4 separate regions of the Mus musculus genome follow, and all the other regions are reported to be linked to region 2. The links are microRNA targets in miRTarBase. Many come from high-throughput screens and were not tested one by one. Region 2 holds a microRNA gene; each other region holds the end of a gene's coding sequence.

Region 1 (5,432 bases), not on the chromosome of region 2:
ATACAGCCCTTCGTGCTCTCCTGAACTGATGGCAATCTCCCAGCCCGTGGAGTGAACTTTTAGGACTGGAACACGCCTGCTTCCCAAGAGAGGGGAAGCCTAGCCTAGCCTCGCCTCGCCTCGCCTCACAGTGCATATCACAGTACATCCTAGAGGCTGTGCTGAGGGCCACGACACCGTGTCACACACTGCTTCCTTCTTACAATCAGCAAAGAAACTGAGACCCCATTTTTCCACCTCCTCATAATTAGCATCTATATCATAAAAACAGAATCCGATTCCAGGATGAGGAACAAAAGAAACCAGTCTCCAGACACAGATGGAGAGACCCACCCACTAGCTCACCAGGCCACTGGAAACTTGGCCAAGTAGAATTATTTTTCTACTTTCTGCTTTCAACACCCATTCCCATGGGATCCAAATAATGCTTCTCTATCATCATGGAGATGCGTTGGTCCAAGGAGCTCACAATGCCAAAGCATTGGATGCAGGGCCAGGGAGACACTTCAATGTTCTCTGGCTAATCAGCAACACTCAGATGAAGATGTCATCAGTAGTGGTGGCCCAGGGTCCTGTCTTCCTGAAGGAGAAGCCCCACAAACCCCAGCATCCAAGACTGTATTCTCCAGGGTCCTAGATGGGTAGTAAGCACCACCCCTGAGCAGCCTGTTGCCCTTTCCCATTCCCTCGCCCAGGAAGCTGCAGCTGGGAGTTTCAAAGGCAGGGGCATGGAGGGAGGAGTTTTAAAGGCAGGGGTGTGGAGGGAGGAGGCATTAGGCTTGATTTCTTAAAGGCTATAATGTGTAAAGTACCTCAAAGTGTGTGGCTTTGACAACAGAGGTGTATTGTCTGAAAATTCTAGAAGCCAGAACTCCCAGATTGAGGTTAGCCTCTCTGAGGACTGTGGGGGAGAATCTATTCTAGGCAGCTTCTCCAGCTTCTGGTGGGTTTTCTGGCAACCTTTGGCATTCCTTGGCTTGTACATCACCGCGACCTCAGCCTTCAACATTACATTGTGTTTTCTCTGTGTGTGCCTGTCTCTAGATTCCTCCTTTTCATGAGGACACTAGTATTCCTGGAGTCGGGCCCACCCTACTGCTGCATGACCTCATCTGAAATAACTAGATCTCTAATAGTCCCATTTTCAAAGAGGTTCCAGAGTCCTGGTGTTAGGAATTCAATATTAAGGATTTGGGGAGACGCCCTTATCTTGAAATCAAGCAGTTCAGGGAAAAAGAAATCCCCCCAAAAAAAATCCTGTTCTTTTTCAGGGTTTGTCTTCAAACATTCTTAGCTATTCCCTAAAATCATTATTGCCCTAAACAATCTAAAGCAGTGGTTCTCAACCTGTGGGTAGAAACCTCTTTGAGGGTCAAATGACCATTTAATAGGGGGGTCATCTAAGACCATCAAAAATATATATTTCCATTACAATTCATAATGGTAGCAAAATTACAGTTATTAAGAAGCAATGAAAATAATTTTAGGGTTGAGGGCCATCATATCATGAACTGTATTAAAGGGCTGTGGCGTAAGGAAGGTTAAGAGCCGCTGATGTAAGGGTCCTGAACTCCAGAGCAAGAGCCTTTTCTTTTATTCTTTACCCTATTCTATTTCTCCTTTCTCCTAAGGTGTGCGATAAATGATAGCTTCGTTACTTGTATCTAGCAAGAGTGAATGGGCAAAAAAAAAATCAATAAGCTGTCAATATCTCTGAGATTCCATCACAGTAAATATATAAACTTTTTCCTGGAGTGTTGAAGAGGGAGATCAATGCCAGAGACTCCTGAAGTACAGGGCACTCGATTTCCAGACGTGTCTCCTTGGGACACATAAGTGGCAATCAGTCATTACCTTTAGAAAAGTATAAAGAGAAGCAGCAGATTTCTGAAAAAGATATTTATTTTAAAATTTGCACATAATCTTTGGATAATTTAGAATTAACAGGTATGTTTTAAAAGTTTCTGACACAAACCCGGAAACCAAGAGCAATGAGAGATTTGATTGGCAGAAGGAATCAAGAGGATCCTGCATTTAGGATGCATAGATGGCTAGTGACGTCAGTGCCCACGTAGAAAGACACTTTCCTATAGCACTCAGTCACAGATTTTAAACTACCTGTCGCAAATACTAAATACCTCATCAGACTAACAGTGACGCCCACATCCACTCCGTAGTCCACTTTACTCAAGTATCCACATTTACAGAGCACAGAGAAAGTCTAACAGACATCAGAATCATATTACACTTATTAATTTACTCCCCCACATTAATAAGAACTAAAAACTAGAATCTACCCAGTGTAGTCTCCATCTCTAATGTACCTCTTGCTGACCTCTTGAAGGAACATCAGCTTCCTGGGCACTCTATCCACAGTCCTGATGCCTTATAATGAGCCAGGAATTCCCTAGACCTAACCCCCACAGCGGCCAAGCAGCCCAATGCTCTGCACACCCTGAGGTGCAGGCAGCAAGACAGGTAGGCTCCTGCACGTTGCAAATGATGCAGATGCCTCACAACAGAAAGGATGCCCTGCTTTTCTCTACTGCCCTCTCCTGCAGCAAGGCCCAGTATGGGTGTGACCCTCCATAAGGAAACAAGGAAAGACATCAGGGTACCTACTTCCTATGCACCGTGGACACAGCCCAGCCACGTGCTTTCCAGTGGTCCTCACACAGCCCAGATATATGTTTTCCTGCGGTCCCCACACAGCCTTGTGAGGTAGGATTGTCACCCCCATTTTACAGATATGGAAACAAAGTGGCACAGTGAGGAAGTGGGGGTCAACCTGGAAAGCCAGGGCTTTTCACTCCGGGCTTTCTATTGCCCGCATAAGGCAAGGGGGTCAGCAGTAAACAAGTTTCTGAGCTCTGAGACTGTGGGTCTGCAGCTCGAAACACCGAAGCCCTGTGAGCACAGCCTTGGGAATCCAGTAGACTGTGTCTCAGTGACCTTGATTCAATAGCATTAATTCTGATCTGTAAGTCACTGAACCACTCCACACCAGGGGCTGAGTGGGCTGCTGTGGTTTCCCACCAGGTAGAGAGGTCTCAGAAAATCCTTGTGAGAGTATGCTTGCCAAACAGGGTGGGTCCTCCCTGCCCAGAGACCAATGCTACTCCCTTGCAGGGGGAGCAGGGCAATCTGTGATCACACACCTCACCCCTTGTGAGAATCAGTTATGATTAAGATTCTAACCTAAGTCCCAGAAACCATATTCCCCATGCCCTGAGAGACCTTTCATGGGGGGCGGGGGGGCCCATAAGGTCAGCGAAAGTTGGGGTAATTGCAAAACAGAAAATGATTAAAAGTAATTTGGGAGGGAAGCCTGCTGTAAGGGAGAGTAATGATAGCAATTAGGAGAAGGTTAGGGAGTAGACAGCTAAAACAATAAAATAAAATAAAAGAGCCCCAGCCTATCTGACTAATCTGCTGTCTCCTGTGGGGCAGCACTTGGTGCCAATGTGGGTAGGGACTTTCTAACAAAAATACCTTGGGTTTCCATGTTCTAACATCAGTGATAAAGGGGAAAGTGAAAACTTCTTCTGAAGAAGACGGTGTGTTTCTCTTCTTCCTCTAAGAGCTTCCCCAGTGCTCTTGCTCAACAAGAACACAGTAGAACTGGCCCCTGCTGGGTGTACAGACAGCACGCTCTCAGAGAGGAGCCCAAATCACTGAGCGCACGGAATGTTTGCATTCTAGCTGCCTGTTGGGTGTCTCTCTCTTTTACTCAACTCTGATCAGGTTGGGGACAGATGGGAGGTTTTGTACCTTCTGTCTCCATGGAGAGTGGGAAGTGAGCTACCCAAGATCCTTTGCAAGATCATAAGCACCCAGGATTAAGGATCAAAAGGGACTACCCTTGGGAACAACTTTACTCTAGAGTAACTGAGTAGGCTTCCCCACCGTGTCCCAATTATTTGCCTCCCCTCCCTGAAGCCACCCTGCATCTGACACAAATCATGATCTGGGAGATGTGAAATCACCACCTAGGGAGAGATTTAAGCCACGGAAGGTGCTCCTTTGTTAGGATGACATCATTCAGTTGGAAAAAACAAAGTCTAGTTTTGGCAACCCTGGTGAGAAATGTGGCTCTTTCCCCTACTCATGTGAAAGGAGAGGAGGATGTTGTCAGGAGAAATGTGTACGGCAAGAATCTGGGCTCCCATACTCTGTGCCTGCAGGGAAGGCTGGGTCTGCCTCCTTGCCATCAGACACTGGAGGCCCCAGAACCCTCGCCAACAAAATTCCCTAGAGTGCAAGAAGCAGGCTGGGCCTGTTGAATAAAAACACTCCTTCAAGCAGTGGTAACCAGGAGAGCAGCCATAAAATGACTTATGGAGAAGGATGAGGATGCCTGGCTCAACAGCGATTGTTCCGGAAGCCAGACAGGGTAGCTTTCCCAAACAAATAAATGTCTTCATCTGTTCCCTCATTGAGATGCTTCACCATATTCTTCTCGAAGAGGAGCGGATGGTAGGCACCCATCGTGCAGGCGCTGTCAAAGAACTTCTGGTGATAGTAGCACACATCTGTCTTGCGCTTGGATGGGAGGAACTCGTAAATATCAACTTGGTCACACAGCGTCATCATAATGATGATACCTAGAGAGGGGAGCAGAGGGGAGGCGTGTGGTTAGGAGGGGACAGGTATGGCAGGGGCAACGCAGACAGCAGCAGGGCCCTGGGGCAACAGGAAGTCTGTTCCTCAGCACACCAACCACTGCTGCTCTAAAAGCTCTAGGAAGAGCCCAGATGCACCTACCCGAACGCTGAAGCAGAGGGTAAAAGGGGCTGACGTACTGCAAGGGCCCCTATGTCTTTTCATCCCTGCCTCTAGCAGAAAACTAAGCTGCTCATTTACTAAGGGAAATTTTACCATGCCAGACCCACAGGATAAGTGAAAGACAGTTAGCCCTCTAGTATGGGAAGTAGACAGATAAACTGCACAGTGGTGAGTCCCTGGAAACATCTCGTTAAAGGTTTGCACTACAGTTGCCCATGGAAGGAGTGTCCATCCCTCTGCAGAGACAGCCTGTCCATTCATGGGAATGCCCCAGTGGTCCATCCCAAGAGAAAGGGAGGGAAGGATGGATGGGCATTAAGATCTGAGGGACAGGGAGAGAGCTTAAGAAGAGAGACTTTGACCAGCATTCAGTACCCTTATCCCCAGTCCACCCCAAATCTGCTTCCCGTTTCCTACATGACCCCATCTAGACAAGCTAGCCCAGCTTCTCTCATGGTTTCAACTAAAGCATCCACAAAGCCAGGAGAGGTATGATAAACTTTTGTCTGTGTCAGGTTCCCAACATGACTCTGCAGAGCAATGTTACCACTTCTATCCATAGTTACCTATGAAACCTTTTTGTTGTTGTTGTTGTTCATTATAATTTCTGGCATTGTGATTTTTAAAGATATTGCATTAAAACATCA
Region 2 (5,432 bases):
AGCTACTTCACTGAAGCTGTTTATCAGGTTTAGGAGTTCTCTGATGGAATTTTTGAAGTCACGTATATATATTTTATCATCTGCAAATAGTGATATTTTCACTTCTTCCTGTGAATGTCATTATATTTGGCACTCACCAGAACTCCTGAAAAATAAATTGGGAATTTGTGTATTATGCTATCCTCAAGACCTGTAGTGGATATTAGAGTTAGCAGAGTCTATGTGCAGTGCTCTGCTTTAGTCAGGCAGCCAACTGAACTAAAGTCATTTCTCTCTCTCTCTCTGTATATAAAGATGCAGGAATTGTCTGTATATTGTTACCATATATAGGTAACATCTGGATAGTGTGGGTAATATATCTAAAACACTTGTGGATATGTTTTTTAATACCAGTCCTGTCCTGCCAAACATTTATTTTATCAGGCACCATTTATAGATTTTTGGTTCTGTTAGGTTTGGTTTTAATACAAAATTTCTTATGGTAGCTCTGGCTGGCCTAGAACTCACTTTGGAGAGACCTAGCTGGTCTCAAATTCACAGAGATCTATCTCCCTCTGTCTCCAGAGTGCTGGGTTTAAATCTGTGTCACCAATGGCCAGTTTATCAGGCACTCTTAAGGTGACTTTCATGGATAATTCTCAACATGGATCTATCAGATTAAAAGTAGATGAAGGTAAAATTGTTTGGCCTATTATATTGTATTATCAATAATTGTAACAAACATGTTGTTCTCTTAGTGCTGACTATTGTGTAGATGAAAAGAATATAATTTGAGAGGATCTTTGGTAAAATATATGGTAAAGGAAAATGAATTTTTTATTTTTGCATGACTTACGATTGAATCAGCTCATGGTAAGAGTATTTTTCTTTATTTCTCATGTTACAAAATCTGGAGAGGATGATAGAAAATGATAATTTAGAAAATTTTCAAGCAGCTACTTATCTGTATTTTAACTAGACTGTGGCCCATCTTTTAAACACCATATGTCCCAAACTTCTTTGTGAACAATTCATATTACCTTTCATAGTTTTTGTGATCTCTGAGTGATAGTGTCAGTACACTTGCAGTTTCCCTTGAATTGGTGTCTCTGGTTAAATATGCACATTTGATGTCTCCAGGATACATTCTTATTTACCATGCCCAATTTTGAAACTCATGAGAATTAAAGAAAATATGATCATGAAGATTATGATCTTGTTACAGGGAAAAAGTGAATGAGAGAGAACTTAAACCATAGATTCAAACCATCATTAAGATTAACATAGACTAGGAAAAAGAAGGAAAGATGTAAGGCAAAGAACACTGTAGTTGACATTTTGAAAACTTTGGCTTGGAAAAGGACTTCTATATTCCACATGAATTGTATTCTATTGAACAATTAATTGTAGGTTATTTATTACTACATTTTAAGATCATCTCTGTGTACAGTAATGCTCAAAAATAAAATGTTTGTGGTGAGAAATGAATGGTAATGGAAGAATAACTACAAGTAACCACTACATGTGTTCTCAAATCTCACAAATGCCTTTCCGAGGACTTATAAATCAGACATCTTCTGAGTTATTACAACAGTATGTTTTTAATATAAAAACAGTATGATATCACAGAAAAAAATTAAATACATGGAAGTATAGCATTTTCACTTTTTGCCATATAATCATTCAAATAAGAAGAATGCAAGTTAAATTTGTTAAGGAATACAAGTGTTTTAGAACATTGGGATGATTACTGTCATTGTCTTTCGAATAAATATCAGGAGGAAGTAGGTATCATTCTTTTTTTCTTTTTTTTTTTCTTCCTAGATATTTTCTTTATTTACATGAGAGATTAATTAGTTACTTGCATTGCATTTGTGCCACTATTTCACCAGTACAGCATGTAGGCAAATCACCATGTAGAGCACATGGTTTGTAGTTGTGTTGATGGTTACATTTATCCTCTGGTATCATTCAGAGTAACTTTCAGTACCATGAATGCTGATTAGTAGAGGTGCTGATTCTACAGGTACCACTCTGACTTCCTTTTTCAGCAGTATCGCCTTACCAGGAGTATTTGCAAATCATAAAAAATTCGCAAAAACCTAAGTTGTTTGCTGGAGGAAACCATTTGGTTAATGATCCAACTAGATATAAACAGTTCATCACTGCATGTTTCACTTGATGGTGAAAGTTGTAATGTGGAGAGCATGGTTTCCCTATTATTTAGTGACTCTGTTTTGATTCCTCATATGTGTATATATATTAAAAGAAACTTCTACAGTAGTAGGATTCTGTATGACCCTTTACTTGGCCATTAATGGCTATGGTTAGAGGTGAGATAAAACTAACAAGACTGTTTATGAATGTGTGAACATCTCCTTAAAGGCTTTGTATGCAGTGCCCTATTTAGAATGGCACTGATGTGATAAAATAAAAAATTGATCAGGGCCTTTCTAAGTAGAGTAAGGCTTACCACCTTCTACGTTTAATGACTTGTAGATGGATATTCAGATTAGCTGTAGGTACATGAAAAGTGCCTTCTGTAATCATAGATGAGCTTGGACATATCCACATTCTTTTTTTCCTTCTATTCATTTATTTATTTATTTATTTATTTATAATTTACTTATTCTTTCCTCGTGTATTATGTCCAGATTCTAGTTTCTTTTTCCCTACACACCTTGTAGCCCCTCCCCTGTATACTTTCCCTGTCCACCATATCTACTTCTGCTTTTCCCTTCAGAATTGATCAGGCCTTCTTATTTGCTGTACAGTAGATAATAGTCATCTAGAAATACATTCATATCCTTTAGGTTTCTTTCTCATTTTTTTCTTTTTTAAATTTTTATTATATATTTTCTTTATTAACATATCAAATGCTATCCCAAAAGTAACCTATATGCTCCCAGCTCCCTGATCCCCTATACACCCACTTCGACTTCATGGCACTGGTGTTCCCCTGTACTGGGGCATATAAAGTTTGCAAGACCTAGAGGTCTCTCTTCCCAATGATGGCCAATTAGGCCATAAGCTGCTGCATATGAGCTCTGGGGATACTGGATAGTTCATATTGTTGTTCCACCTATAGGGTATGGTCCACTATGTTCATAGCCACCTTATTTATAATAGCCAGAAACTGCAAAGAACCCTGATGTTTCTCAACAGATGAATGTATACACAAAATTTGGTACATTTACACAATGGAGTACTACTCAGCTATTAAAAACAATGAAATTATGAAATTCTTGGATGTATGGATGTATCTGGAGGATATTATCTTTAGTGAGGTACACAATCACAAAAGAAGTCATTAAATATGCACTCACTGATAACGGGATATTAGCCCAGAAACATAGATTACCCAATATATAATATGCAAAGACAAGGAAGTCAAGAAAAGAGAAGACCAACAGGTTGATACCTCTTTTAGTTTTCTTATGTAACAAAATACAAGGTTTTAAGATACTACATGATTTCTTGAATTTCACCACTCTCTGTTCTGTTTTTTTTTTATTAGATATTTTCTTTATTTACATTTCAAATGTTTTCCCATTTACCAATATCCCCCCCATCCCATCTAACCTCCCCCTGCTTGTGTGAGGGTGTTACCTCACCCACCCACTTACTCCCAATTTTTCTCCCTGGCATTCCCCTACATTTGGGGCATCAAGCCTTCACAGGACTAAGGGCCTCTTCTCACATTGATTCCCAAAAAGGCTGTCCTCTACTATATATGCTGGTGGAGCCATGGGTCCCTCCATGTGTACTCTTGGAAGGTGGATTAGTCCATAGCATGTAGGGGTTCTGGTTGTTTGATACTGTTGTTCTTCCTATAGGTTGCAAACCCGTTCATCTCCTTCAGTATTTGCTCTAACTCCTCCATTGGGGACCCTGTGAACAGTCCCAAGTCTTTTCTAGGAGTATGACAAAGTCTCTAGGATATGATGGGACATGTTCGGGCAGTACAAAACAGTTAACTAATGTTGATGATGCATAGGTGACTTAGATATTTTCAGGACTTCTTTGTCTGAAATAAATCTCACTCATACAATATTTGTGGTGATATAATTTGGTTTAAACTTCAAACATGTGAGAGATAAACGTTTTTGATAGCAGGATGCATTGTAACTGTCTGGACATCAATGTAACTTAGGGTGTATTCACCATAGAATTGTTTACTGTAAAATGTACAGGTTAGAAAACAAAGGTAAATAATAAAAGCAAATAAGCCATATATACTAAATGTAGTAAAGTTGTCAAAAAAGAAAATAGTAGTCAACATATTGCATTGATACAGAGATGAGTATTCATTTAAAGAAAAAACATGAGTAAATGTACTTTCAGGGAGAATTTTGATGGTGAGAGAATTTCCTGAGTAGAACAGGATGAAAGCTATTTCTTTATGTATGTTATATTATGTTTATTTATGTTATAATTACAGTTGAAAGTATGGGGAAGGGTAAAGATACGTGAAATCAGCACTATATACCAGGCTATAGTCTTGATTTGTTTCAGTCCTATAAACACATGAAGAACAAATCTTTGTGTAAAAACAAGAATCATCATGCCCTGAAATTGTGCTCTGGGTGTAAATGGCAGTATATATGCAGTTACTTTCTTTTACCCAGGAGCATTAGAACACTAATTTTATGTACAATAGGGGGAATAGGTACCAAATTCATTGATGACTATTTCATAATTTAGTGATAAAATGGCTAGGGAATTTGGGAAAAGGCATAAGTTTAAAATAGTATTTTGGTTTTTTTTCTAGGGTTTATGAGTAAAGGTCAGTTAATAAATTCTACACTCTATGGAGTACAGTGATAAAATTACTAAGAGTGATGGATCTAGCTGAGGCAATACCTACTTTAAATTGTCCTGTATTTATTCAAATTCTCTCATTCTCTGCATCCTGCCCAGTTCTGGGTCTGTGTTTTTCCATCCACTGTAAGAGGAAACTTTAATTATGGCTGATCAAAACACTGGTATGCGTATAGGAGAACATCCTTAGGAGTCATTTAATTGTACATTTAGAAGAAAAATAGAACATGCGTTTCTTTCCTAGGCCCATGACTTAGATTCTTGACCCCAGGATATGGGTTCCATCTTGTACAGCAGGCCTTAAACCCATTGAGAGATTAATTAGTTACTTGCATTGCATTTGTGCCACTATTTCACCAGTACAGCATGTAGGCAAATCACCATGTAGAGCACATGGTTTGTAGTTGTGTTGATGGTTACATTTATCCTCTGGTATCATTCAGAGTAACTTTCAGTACCATGAATGCTGATTAGTAGAGGTGCTGATTCTACAGGTACCACTCTGACTTCCTTGTTCAATAATATCACCTTATGAAGAGTTTTTGCAATTTACAAAATATTTACAATAGCCTAAGTTGTTTGCTGGAGGAAACCATTTGGTTAATGATCCAACTAGATATAAACAGTTCATC
Region 3 (5,236 bases), not on the chromosome of region 2:
TGCTTTTGCTTACTTTTGGCCCCTGCATCCTTAATAAGTTAGTAGCTTTTATTAGAGAAAGGATAAATGCAGTACAGGTTATGGTACTAAGGCAACAATATCGGGTCCTTCAGGAGGTTGAAAACTCGCTCTAAGATTAGAGCTATTTCCTAAAAGGAGTGGGGAATGAAGAATAAAAAATTACTGAACTCTTCCTCACCCCAGAGCCCGACCCCTCCCATCTAGAGAGTGTTCCCAGAACACTCCTGAACTCTTCACCCCAGAATACATTCCTGAACTCCTCACCCTAGAGTTCGAACCCTCCCAACTAAAGACTGTTCCAAGAACATTTTTGAGATAAGGGCCTCCTGGAACAACCTCAGAATGAACCGAGTACATTGCCAAATAATAGGACATGACCCCTTAGTTACGTAGAATCCCTTGGCAGAACCCCTTGTCCCTTGGCAGAACCCCTTAGTTATGTAAATTTGTACTTTCCCTACCCCGCTCTCCCCCCTTGAGTTTTCCTATATAAGCCTGTGAAAAATTTGGCTGGTCGTCGATTCTCCTCTACACCACTAGGTGTATGAGTTTCGACCCCAGAGCTCTGGTCTATGTGCTTTCATGCTGTTGCTTTATTAAATCTTGCCTTCAACACTTTGAGTTCGGTCTCAGTGTCTTCTTGGGTCCGCGGCTGTCCCGAGGCTTGAGTGAGGGTCTCCCTTCGGGGGTCTTTCAGAACTAAGCACACCCAGTTACTTATTTTATTTTATTTTTTTTCCCCCCCGAGACAGGGTTTCTCTGTGTAGCCCTGGCTGTCCTGGAACTCACTCTGTAGACCAGGCCTCTGCCTCCCGAGTGCTGTGATTAAAGGCGTGCACCACCACCGCCCAGCTTTATTTTGTTTTTTTATAAAAGCTACTTCCATCTTTCTCCTTTAGCAGGGAACCAAGGGACATTTGTGTCCCTGAAGCTCGTTTCCATTTCTAAAGGCTCTATCCACTGAATAGTTCATGTCTAAGGTCTGTAACTTGTTGATGTATTTAAAGAGCATTTGCTCAACTTCAGGAAGCATGCACTGTTTGCTTTTACTTACATCTGGGTCATACTGGAGTTGACAGCTGTCCTCAGGCTGAGCTTCCTGTGGCCATTTGCTCAGTGAGTTTTACCTTAGCTAACACCACTGCTGTGCAGACTGCACATATCTACACCCATGTTTGTGAGTGGAGTTCTCCCAGCTTTTCTGAGCTACTCAGGCCACACCCTGCGTGCATTGCTCAGACAATTCACACTTCCTCCAGGTCAGTTTTGCCATGATGGCTCCAGATCAATGTGGGGCACAGAATTCCAGGGAATTCTAACTCTGTCTCCCCAGCCAGCATTCTCTAAAAAGGATCACATTTTAGCCTCCCTGTACGCTACAAGTGGCTCAACTGGGGTCATAACAGAAAAAGGCAACAGGAAACAATTAGACCCACCAGCCTGCCAGTGTCCCATCCCCTGACCCCCATTTTTTAAAAAAGCAAGTCTCATGTAGCTCAGACTGACTCCATGCCCATAGATTTATTATTTGGTTATGTGGGTGGCCTGGGACAGCAGCTGGAAGATGAGTGTTACCGCCTGGGAACCTCAAAGGGCGAGTGGGGTGGGAGTGGGGGACAATCACAACTTAGAACACTTTATAACTCTAACAACGGAATGTCAGTAAGATGCCACACAGTTGACTGTACAGCCGTAGCATCATGAAGACCCTGTGCCTTCCCTCACCTCTAAGGGAGCCTGTGCTGCCGCCCATCTGTGTTCCTGGTCCAGTCTCCCCAGCACAAGCTAAAAAGTAAGATAGATGTATCTGCTTATCAGAAGACAATGATACTCTGTATTCATTAAAATTAATAAAAATATTTTATTGAATTTCAGGAACTTGGTACTTTTTAAAAATTCCAAATCTTTGCACACAGATCAGCACTCTGCTTCCTCTGAGCTGCAGATGCTTGGCCTTCACGATTGTCACTTCTCTCCTTGTGTCACACAGCATAGAAAACCCAAGTCCTGATGCTCCCCGACCCCTTCTGAACTACTACGGCTACTCTGTGACCAGCTCCCCAGCAGAGGACAAGGAAGTGGGGTGGGGTATTTACGGAGACCAGCTGCTGTCTGTGAACACATTCTACAGTGTGGGAAATAGCTATACAATGTTATGCCACACACATTCTGGAATGCACCGTACCCAGGACACAGGTGAGCTTCCCTTTGTGGTCGGTGTGGTTCAAGCCTACGCTGCTGAAGTTATCTCGTTCCTGAGGGAGCTCAGAAGTTTGGTAAAGGTCAAAGTGAGACTCCATAAGCATTTAGCAGTGGTGCCACAGGCACTGGGGACTGCTGTGAGCTCCTTGTGTCAGGATAGTACGTTCCCACATCAGACCTCTGCTGAGGGCCAAAGCACGTGAGCCCAGCTCTGGTGTATGGAGGGGCTTCTGGGAACTTAGATGAACATAAAACTAAAGTAGTGCCTTCAACACTGGGAAGAAACCCTGGGTTTAGTACTCAGTTAATAACCTAAGGGTCCAGCTTCTGCCCTCTCCTTGGCAGCGTTACATTCCTATGGACCAAAGCAGCAGCAAGGCCGATACAGCAGCAAGGAGAAAAGATGGGTGTGTGCCTATTGGCACACTTCACTCACGCGAGACTGAGAAGGTGGCCTTAAAGAAAAAAAAAAAATCCTCCTTCCATCTTTAAATGTTTTCTATGATCCCCAAAAGAAACTCCTACAGACCCATAAGGTCTGTTTGGGGCTCAGAGGTAACGAGTTTGCAGATCTCACTCATAGGGAACAAGTCCTGGGCAAGCATGCTATACACACACATCTCCAGATACACAGTATGTCCAGTTGGTGGTACCTGAGCCCACCCTTGACTAGGGCAGCGGCCTGCCAGTGTACCACGTTAACTGAGGCCCATAGTCTGGATGCACATGCTGGGCACAATATAACCCAAATTAAAGTACTCTGCAAACTGCAAACCTTTACGAGACAGACATTCCGAGGTTACCTGCAGAAACGATGGAGGAGGCAGACTGCGGTGGGCACACACATGTTCTCACTCGCATCATGTCTCACCTTTATTGTTTAAGTGGCTGAGTTATATAAATCCAGCTTGGGTGCAGTAACTCCATGTCAACACGCATCATCTGCAGTAACATTGTGACAGCTCCATACTGTGGGTGAAGCAATACTTAGAACAGACTTATCATATTTGGTCTTTATGTAAATAATGTTTTAAATTGCCTAAATATACCATTCTGAGCCATTTCATTCTACCAGGAAAATACAGGGTTTCCCCCCCTCTCTTAAAAAAAATTAAATACCAAAATAACTACATTTAAATAAATAACGTTATGATGATGACATCAGGGAAAAAAAAACCTCACAATGAGGCTAACGCCCTCTGCCTGTTGCTCAGCTCAGTCCAGAATGCTCTGGAAAGGTGAGCGGTGATCCTGAGTGTGGGCTGGGCTGCTGGCCTCCCCACTTCTCCTCACCCTTCCCTCTTAGTTTACTTGCTATGTGACATAAGTCAGGATTAGTGTGGGACGTCATTCTGAAAATCCAGAGAAACCTCTTGAGAATCATAAAATGGCCTGAATGCTTGATACTTGGCTGCAGGGTCTTACTCCCAAGACCCTCAAGTTAACTGGCAACATCTCTCCACCAGCTCTTGCTGCGAGTGTGCCATACAGATAGCCAGTCAGAGGCCAGAGCTGACCTCTATGATTCCCCAGGTTCTGGGAGAGAGAGATTTATGACCTTGGTCTGAAAAGGCGTGACAGAGGCCTGGATCTGTTTCCCAGGAGGGAGGGATCTGTTGCTTTAAGCATACACAATATTTAGGAGACTTGTTTTACTAGAGTGGGAAATTACGCCAAGGACAAAGTCTACATAAAGAAACAAACAACAAACCCAGCAAGCTAGAGCAGGTACGTGCGTGCAGCCTGACGGCTGGAAGGCTCCCAGGGTCTCTTGTCCCAATGCCCCCTGGCCTCATGGGTCCATGCAGCCTCAGCCCACCCACCCTCTACAATGGCACAAGGTAGGTCAAATTCATCAGGTAACTGCTCTAAACGGAAACGGGCAGGTAGGTGTCCTAAGGGAGAGCCACCCAAACACAGGCAGGACAGACTAGAGCAAACCATCCCACGGGCTAAAATCAAACCACAGAAACAAACAGAATGACGCTCTTTCCCCCAAATGAATCTCAAATTTCCAGAGTAGAAATGGAGTGATATGAAATGTCAAAGACCCCATTATTCAGTAAAGAAAGGACACTGCCAAGTATTCTAATTCCGTATGTGAACAACAAAACACTGTCTTGTCTCTCAGCCACAGCCAGCAGGTCCTATGAGGGCAGCAGATGGCTGTGGCCCTGTCCCCTAAAGGAAAGCCAGCGCGATCCACTTGTAGCAGGTGCTGCGTCCTCCCAGGAGACTCAGTCCTTTGGGACCTGGATTTCTTGCTTGTAGTAAAAGCTGAGCCCACAGACAACGGCCCAGCAAGTGCTCTGTCGGAGACACCACCTCTGGAACCAGGGTTGCTGTTGTGGGTCTGTTCAAGTGTAAGATGTCTTTAAATTAAGGAGTTTTAAGGCCACCTGGGTTCATGTTTTCAGTGCTGAGAGGTGAAGTCCAACCGCAGGGCCCTTTACCCACCGAGGATGCGCTCCCTGCTTCAGTGAGAGAGAGGCAGCGCTCCCTGCTTCAATGAGAGGCAGCATCTCCTTTTGGCACCACAAAGTTGATGTCTGAAGAAAAGGTCTCCCACAGCTAGTTCTGGATTGCCTTTTCTCTCACAGCTGCTGGTGGTGCATCCACACTCAGGGCAATGACAATGCTCTCGCCATCTTCTGCTTTAACTCGCTTGAGCTCTGGCTGCTCTGCCTGGTCACCGTTCTGGCGCTTTGTGGGCAGGGATGCCGATGCTGATGCATGGGTGGCCAACATATGGAGAGGACTTGCTGCTGCTGAAGGACACAGTGAATCAGAACCCCACGCTACTGCATAAACCCCTGACCACAGAGTCCACACTGGCATGCCAAACCCTCTTGAGTCTTACACAAAACCCCAGGGATAGCCCTACATGGCCAAAGCCGCGGCAGGTCAATTCCCATCAGTAAGAAAAACCTCTGTAGCTTCTACAAAAAGCACAAGCTAGCTACTCGAAAGCCCAGAACTGCCACGGCAAGGAGGCTTCTGTTCACCTGGAGGA
Region 4 (5,432 bases), not on the chromosome of region 2:
CCGAGCCCGAAGACACGGCGGGGACCCTGCTGGCTCCGGAGAGCGGACGCGCAGTCAAAGAGGCCGAGGCGTCGCCGCCGAGTCCCGGCAAGGGAGGCGGGACAACACCGGAGAAACCAGACCCCGCGCAGAAGCCCCCGTACTCGTACGTGGCGCTCATCGCCATGGCGATCCGCGAGAGCGCCGAGAAGAGGCTCACTCTGTCCGGCATCTACCAGTACATCATAGCCAAGTTCCCGTTCTACGAGAAGAACAAGAAGGGCTGGCAGAATAGCATCCGCCACAACCTCAGCCTCAACGAGTGCTTCATCAAGGTGCCGCGCGAGGGCGGCGGCGAGCGCAAGGGCAACTACTGGACGCTCGACCCGGCCTGCGAGGACATGTTCGAGAAGGGCAACTACCGGCGCCGCCGCCGCATGAAGCGGCCCTTCCGGCCGCCGCCCGCTCACTTCCAGCCCGGCAAGGGGCTCTTCGGGAGCGGAGGAGCGGCGGGTGGCTGCGGCGTGCCCGGAGCTGGGGCCGATGGCTATGGCTACCTGGCGCCACCCAAGTACCTGCAATCGGGGTTCCTCAACAACTCCTGGCCCCTGCCGCAGCCTCCCTCGCCCATGCCCTACGCCTCCTGCCAGATGGCGGCGGCTGCGGCGGCCGCTGCTGCAGCCGCTGCAGCCGCCGGCCCGGGCAGCCCCGGTGCAGCCGCGGTGGTCAAGGGGCTGGCGGGCCCCGCCGCCTCCTACGGGCCGTACTCGCGCGTGCAGAGCATGGCGCTGCCTCCGGGCGTCGTGAACTCCTACAACGGCCTGGGGGGCCCTCCTGCCGCACCACCGCCGCCGCCACCGCCGCCGCACCCTCACCCGCACCCTCACGCACATCATCTGCACGCGGCCGCTGCGCCCCCGCCAGCCCCGCCACACCACGGGGCTGCCGCGCCTCCCCCGGGTCAGCTCAGTCCCGCCAGCCCGGCCACCGCCGCGCCCCCGGCACCCGCGCCCACGAGCGCGCCCGGCCTGCAGTTCGCCTGCGCCCGGCAACCCGAGCTCGCCATGATGCATTGCTCATACTGGGACCACGACAGCAAGACGGGCGCGCTGCACTCGCGTCTGGATCTCTGAGTGCCAACGCGCGCGGGAGCGGTCCCCCACCCCTATCCCGGGAGTGGAGGAGCCGAGCTCGGGTCGCAGCCGCAGCAGCCAGCCTGACAGCGCGCACTCCGGGACAGCTTCTGGATGCAGAGCCCTCGAGCGGTCTGCCCTTCCTCGGTCCGCCCCGCTCCTGCGACTCCGCTTTGTCGCCTCCGCTGCTCCTCCGGTGCTCTTCCCCGCCGCGGCCTCTGCTTTCCCGTGCTGCTGGCCGGAGGCCGCCCACTCCGTGCTTTCCGCGGGCCTCCTCTCCTCACCGCAGGGAGTGAGTCCCCGGCCGAGGTGCGGTCGAAGTGTCTGAGACGCAGCTTACCTCTTGGCCCTCTCTTCCAGGTCGGTGGACTCAAGCTCGATTTTATTTTTAATTCCCCACCCCGACTGTCTGCGACTAGAAGCGCTAGGCTGCTGGGGGAAGAGGGACCCACACTACCGGAGAATGGAAAGAACGTGTCTGGTCGCTCTGCGATCCCTCCTGGAACTGATCAGAAGCCGCTTGCAGAGGGGCCCACTGGGCGGGGCGGGGGTTGAGCCCCAGGCTGGAGCAGGGACAGCCTCGTTCCGCGGCCTGCAACCGAGTTCTCATCCCCCGCTCCTTGTGAGGCCGTGGTGCCTCCGCTCCGCAGAGCACCGCATAGGGCACCTCCAGGCCAGGTCTTTATGAAAAAGATTGGTGAGGCTTTTGAAAATATTAAAAAATACTTTTTAAAGAAAAAAAGAAAGAGGGAGAGAATAAAACATTCATGGGGGGGTGGGGAGGAGAAATGTAATGGCCTTGGAGTTTGCTAAAACCAAACAACAAAATCAAAAGTTTTGGTTTTCTTCATCGACCCTGCTGGGAAATTTGTGTAAGAATTCCCGTGGTGACTTCATTAGGCTGTGTTCAGAGGGAGGAGAAAATAACTAGCTAAAATAAGGTTTCCACTACAAATTAGGAATTTCTTTTCTATTTAAAAGTTGAACTCAAAACAAATTTCCCCGGATCTTCCGATTCTGCCCCGGATGCCAGAAGAGATCTCTGCCTGGCTGGTACACACCGCCCAGATGACACTCCTATCCCTGATTTTTGTTTTTCCAATGTCTTGTTTCTTCCACCTTCGGAAGGAGAAATGTGAAACTCGTCATGGCCGGCCCACACGGGCTTGTGGCCCCAGCCGGCTGGCCCGAAATCCCGTGACCTGGTGGTTGAGTAATGTCTTTCGGGGACCAAATTTTCTAGAGGGAACTAGAGCACTTTTGTTGTGTTTGTACGTGTGTGAGGGCGTCCCTTGTCAATTCCCAAATAAATTTTTTTGTTTTTTGTTTTTCTTTTAACACGGACTTGCATTGTTTCTTTTACACCGTAGTTCAGCAGCTAGCTAGCTAAGAGAGCGAGCCTTTCAAGAAAAATTGTGTTCTTTTAAAAAGTGACACAAACAAGAGTTGAGGACAACCCGGGTGGCAGGCGCTTTGGGCTGTCGCTGCTGCTTTGTTTTTCAGGAGATTGTTTGTTTTTCTGTGTCATCGTTTGTCTGTTGCGGCTGTTTCACACCGGCAAAGATACCCGGCCCTCGCTAGAGGCTACTGTAGGCAAGGTTTGTTCTCGTTTTGCGTTCGTGTAAGTTTATATTTTGCCTCTTACATAATTGTACTAGGTGCGTACGCTGTGTTTCCACTGCTATCCTCATACGTCTAAGAATTTTTTTGTCAAAAATATATGTAACATTTTTTAATATAAAATCCAGATTTCAGAAACACCTTGGAAGCTGCAAGCTTTTCTACAGTGTAATCGGTGATTTGTCGTACCGTTGTTTTTAGCAATTGGCATTCATTTATCTTGAAATAAGTGTAGGAAACTTGGTGTTTCAGGTGGGACTTAGTGTACAATATGCTACGGAGGTGGGCTTTTGCTTTCTCTTTACTGAGCTCCATCAAATAACGAATTAAGACCCATGCTCTCAAGAAGATACAAAAGGTGTTTGACCTGGTTGCAGATGAAATCTCTCTGGTTGACTAGAGGTGGCTGGCCTTCAGTTTTCCAATGGGGTGACAGATATTGGATCCGGCAGTGAGTGGCTGAGGGTTCGTGCAACAGGAGTTTAGATCCCATGCATAACCATGAATCTGTCACCTGCCTCTCTCTCTACCTGGATAAGAGACAGGTCCAGAGGAACGAGCTGGGAGAAGCTAAGAGCTTAAGGGTGTGAACCTATGGGTCCTCATTTCAGCTAACCGAAGGTCTAACCTTAGGAATGTCAGGGTGATATCTAGATTATAATGTTGCTGGGATCAAGGGAAGCCTGTTCGGCTCAGAATGCACTCTCCTTCCCCCCCCCCCCCCCCCGCAAAGATCTCAGAAGGAGGCTACAGTGTAGAGGAGGTGCTGTGGATTCCGGAAGGTAGAAACTTCAGCCCACCCACTGGGGGTCGGCTGAAAGGAGAATCTCGGTTGTGGTGGAAAGGGAGAATCCCTCAGGCAAGAAGGTGTTTCTGTAGCCTGGTGTTAAGTCTCAAATGTACGGATCAGATCACTGTAGTCTGTGCCTGGCGTGAGTGTTTCTAGTGTCTGTTATTTAATGGAGACAGGGTATAAGCTGTGTATCTGTCATTCACCTGCAGGGAGGATGGATGACATATATTTAGGATATTGTACTAGCTATATGACTAATATTAGGGGGTGCTTGCCAGAACCCAGTACTTGTTGCATTCATACCTCGTGCTGATCTAAACAGCTGTGCCCTGGGTGTGTGTTTCTGGCTTGCTGAAGGATAACAAAGTATGTGCACCCCTCACTTCATCTGACAGAGGCTCCCTGTTCCGGGGGACTAGCTGTCAGCACCCCCAACAAACTGCTATCCAGAGTAGAAAGCAGGAGGACAGCCTCAGAGGTAGGGCTTTTGGTGGGTAGGTCATGGCCCAGCTCCAGTAAGATGGAGACGCTGAACAAGGCCTGCATTGGAGGATTGCCTCACTGTACCCAAGAACTACCAGCAAGAGGCATCCACAGCTGGGAAGGCTTTGCCAAGTAAGGAAACTTAGATGGAGGGGGCTTTCCCAACTCTACACAGTGGTTGGAGGAGGTAAGAGAAGGGAGCCACTTCCCCACGGATGCCTCCAGAAAGACATCTGTCTCTAATTCCAGCCCTAAGGGGTTCTGCAAAGCGCCAAAATTTGGTCCTTTTCTCTAGTTGGGGACAATAACAGACCTTCCTTGTCTCAAATTTCCTTTCTCTCCTTTCTCCCTCTGCCTTGCACTTTTGAATTTGTTAAAGAATCTGATTCAGATAATTCCCTAAGTGAGAGCAAAACTATCCAAGAGAGTTCCTGGTGCAGAACAACTATGCCTTAGTATACACAGTCTGGCTTGGATACCTAGTAGCCCCTGTGGGGATGCGCATATATGCTTGTAGTGTGTTCTATAAAAGCAACATAAATAGAGTTTGATGCAAATATCCTACCAATTTCTGAAGGATACAGGTAATGAGTTGTGAAGCATGGTACTGAACGGTGTGTGTAGCAGGGGAATAGGTTGTGCACAGACACATCCCTAAATACGGACAGAATGCAACATTTCCTCTATGTTCGAATTCTTATAGTGACCTTTGTATTCCCTAAAAACCTAAAGTAAATGGGTTTGTGGCAGGGAGTCCAATTCTCTAATGGGACTAGAGAAACATTTTACCAATGCAAGAGATACACTGAGGGATTGTATTGAGCCTTGCATTGTCTTTTACAAGCCAAGACTGAAAAGGTAGCCATGTAGAGAGAGCCCCCTGGTGGTAGGTAAAAACTGGGGGCAAATTCGGGCTTCCTGAAGCCAAGTAACCATCTTCTAATGTGCTGGGGGGGGGTGCGGGGGGGTGCGGGGGGGGTGCGAGGGGGTGAAGCTTTGTGAAGGCCTGAAGCTTTCCAACTGCTAAGTCAAATTCTTGCCACCCAGAAAGGGGTCCCAATGCCTGGAAGTGATTTGTTCAAGCTCAAGATTCCCAAAGTGTCCCCACTTTATTTAAATAGTACTTAACTATGTTCTTTTGGCTGTGTCACTATGTCACTGCTGTGTGACAGCCTCTGCTCCTTAGCCAGAACACCTCTCTCTCTCTCTCTCTCTCTCTCTCTCTCTCTCTCTCTCTCTCTCTCTCTCTCTCTCTCTCTCAGATAGGGACCAGGGGCAAAACACTGACAAGTCTACAAACCAAGTAAGGCAGTAAGCCAGCGACTGTGTGCTTTCTGGACAGAGTGAGTTCCAGGCTGTACCAAAGGAGTGCCTGGGACTCAGGAACCAAACTCACACAATTGAGTGGTTGAAGATCTGGCCAA

What was found. The annotated mature microRNA mmu-miR-465a-3p reads GAUCAGGGCCUUUCUAAGUAGA and lies in region 2 at 2,420-2,441, shown strand. An mRNA with a match to its seed (bases 2 to 7 or 8) in the 3' UTR can be bound and repressed. Matches are read on the target gene's strand: a 7mer-m8 pairs with bases 2 to 8, a 7mer-A1 pairs with bases 2 to 7 and ends in A, and an 8mer does both.
Region 1: miRTarBase lists St6gal1 as a target of mmu-miR-465a-3p. Seed matches in the 3' UTR shown: 7mer-m8 at 2,609-2,615.
Region 3: miRTarBase lists Foxk2 as a target of mmu-miR-465a-3p. Seed matches in the 3' UTR shown: 7mer-m8 at 3,384-3,390.
Region 4: miRTarBase lists Foxl2 as a target of mmu-miR-465a-3p. Seed matches in the 3' UTR shown: 7mer-m8 at 2,194-2,200.

Annotation. Positions count from the first base shown.
Region 1 is chr16:23,356,801-23,362,232 of GRCm38, reverse strand. St6gal1 (beta galactoside alpha 2,6 sialyltransferase 1) reads right to left here. Exons shown (of 8, transcript NM_145933.4): 8 at 1,883-4,604. The coding sequence ends at 4,363. Among named protein-coding and RNA genes, the nearest start is that of Gm30814, 33 kb to the right of the region's middle.
Region 2 is chrX:66,836,072-66,841,503 of GRCm38, reverse strand. It overlaps Mir465 (microRNA 465), which reads left to right and starts at 2,379; the gene lies at 2,379-2,452.
Region 3 is chr11:121,306,523-121,311,758 of GRCm38, reverse strand. It overlaps Foxk2 (forkhead box K2), which reads right to left. Exons shown (of 9, transcript NM_001080932.3): 9 at 1,859-4,991. The coding sequence ends at 4,795. Among named protein-coding and RNA genes, the nearest start is that of Wdr45b, 45 kb to the left of the region's middle.
Region 4 is chr9:98,955,677-98,961,108 of GRCm38, forward strand. Foxl2 (forkhead box L2) reads left to right here. Exons shown (of 1, transcript NM_012020.2): 1 at 1-2,450. The coding sequence ends at 1,112. Among named protein-coding and RNA genes, the nearest start is that of Foxl2, 2.8 kb to the left of the region's middle.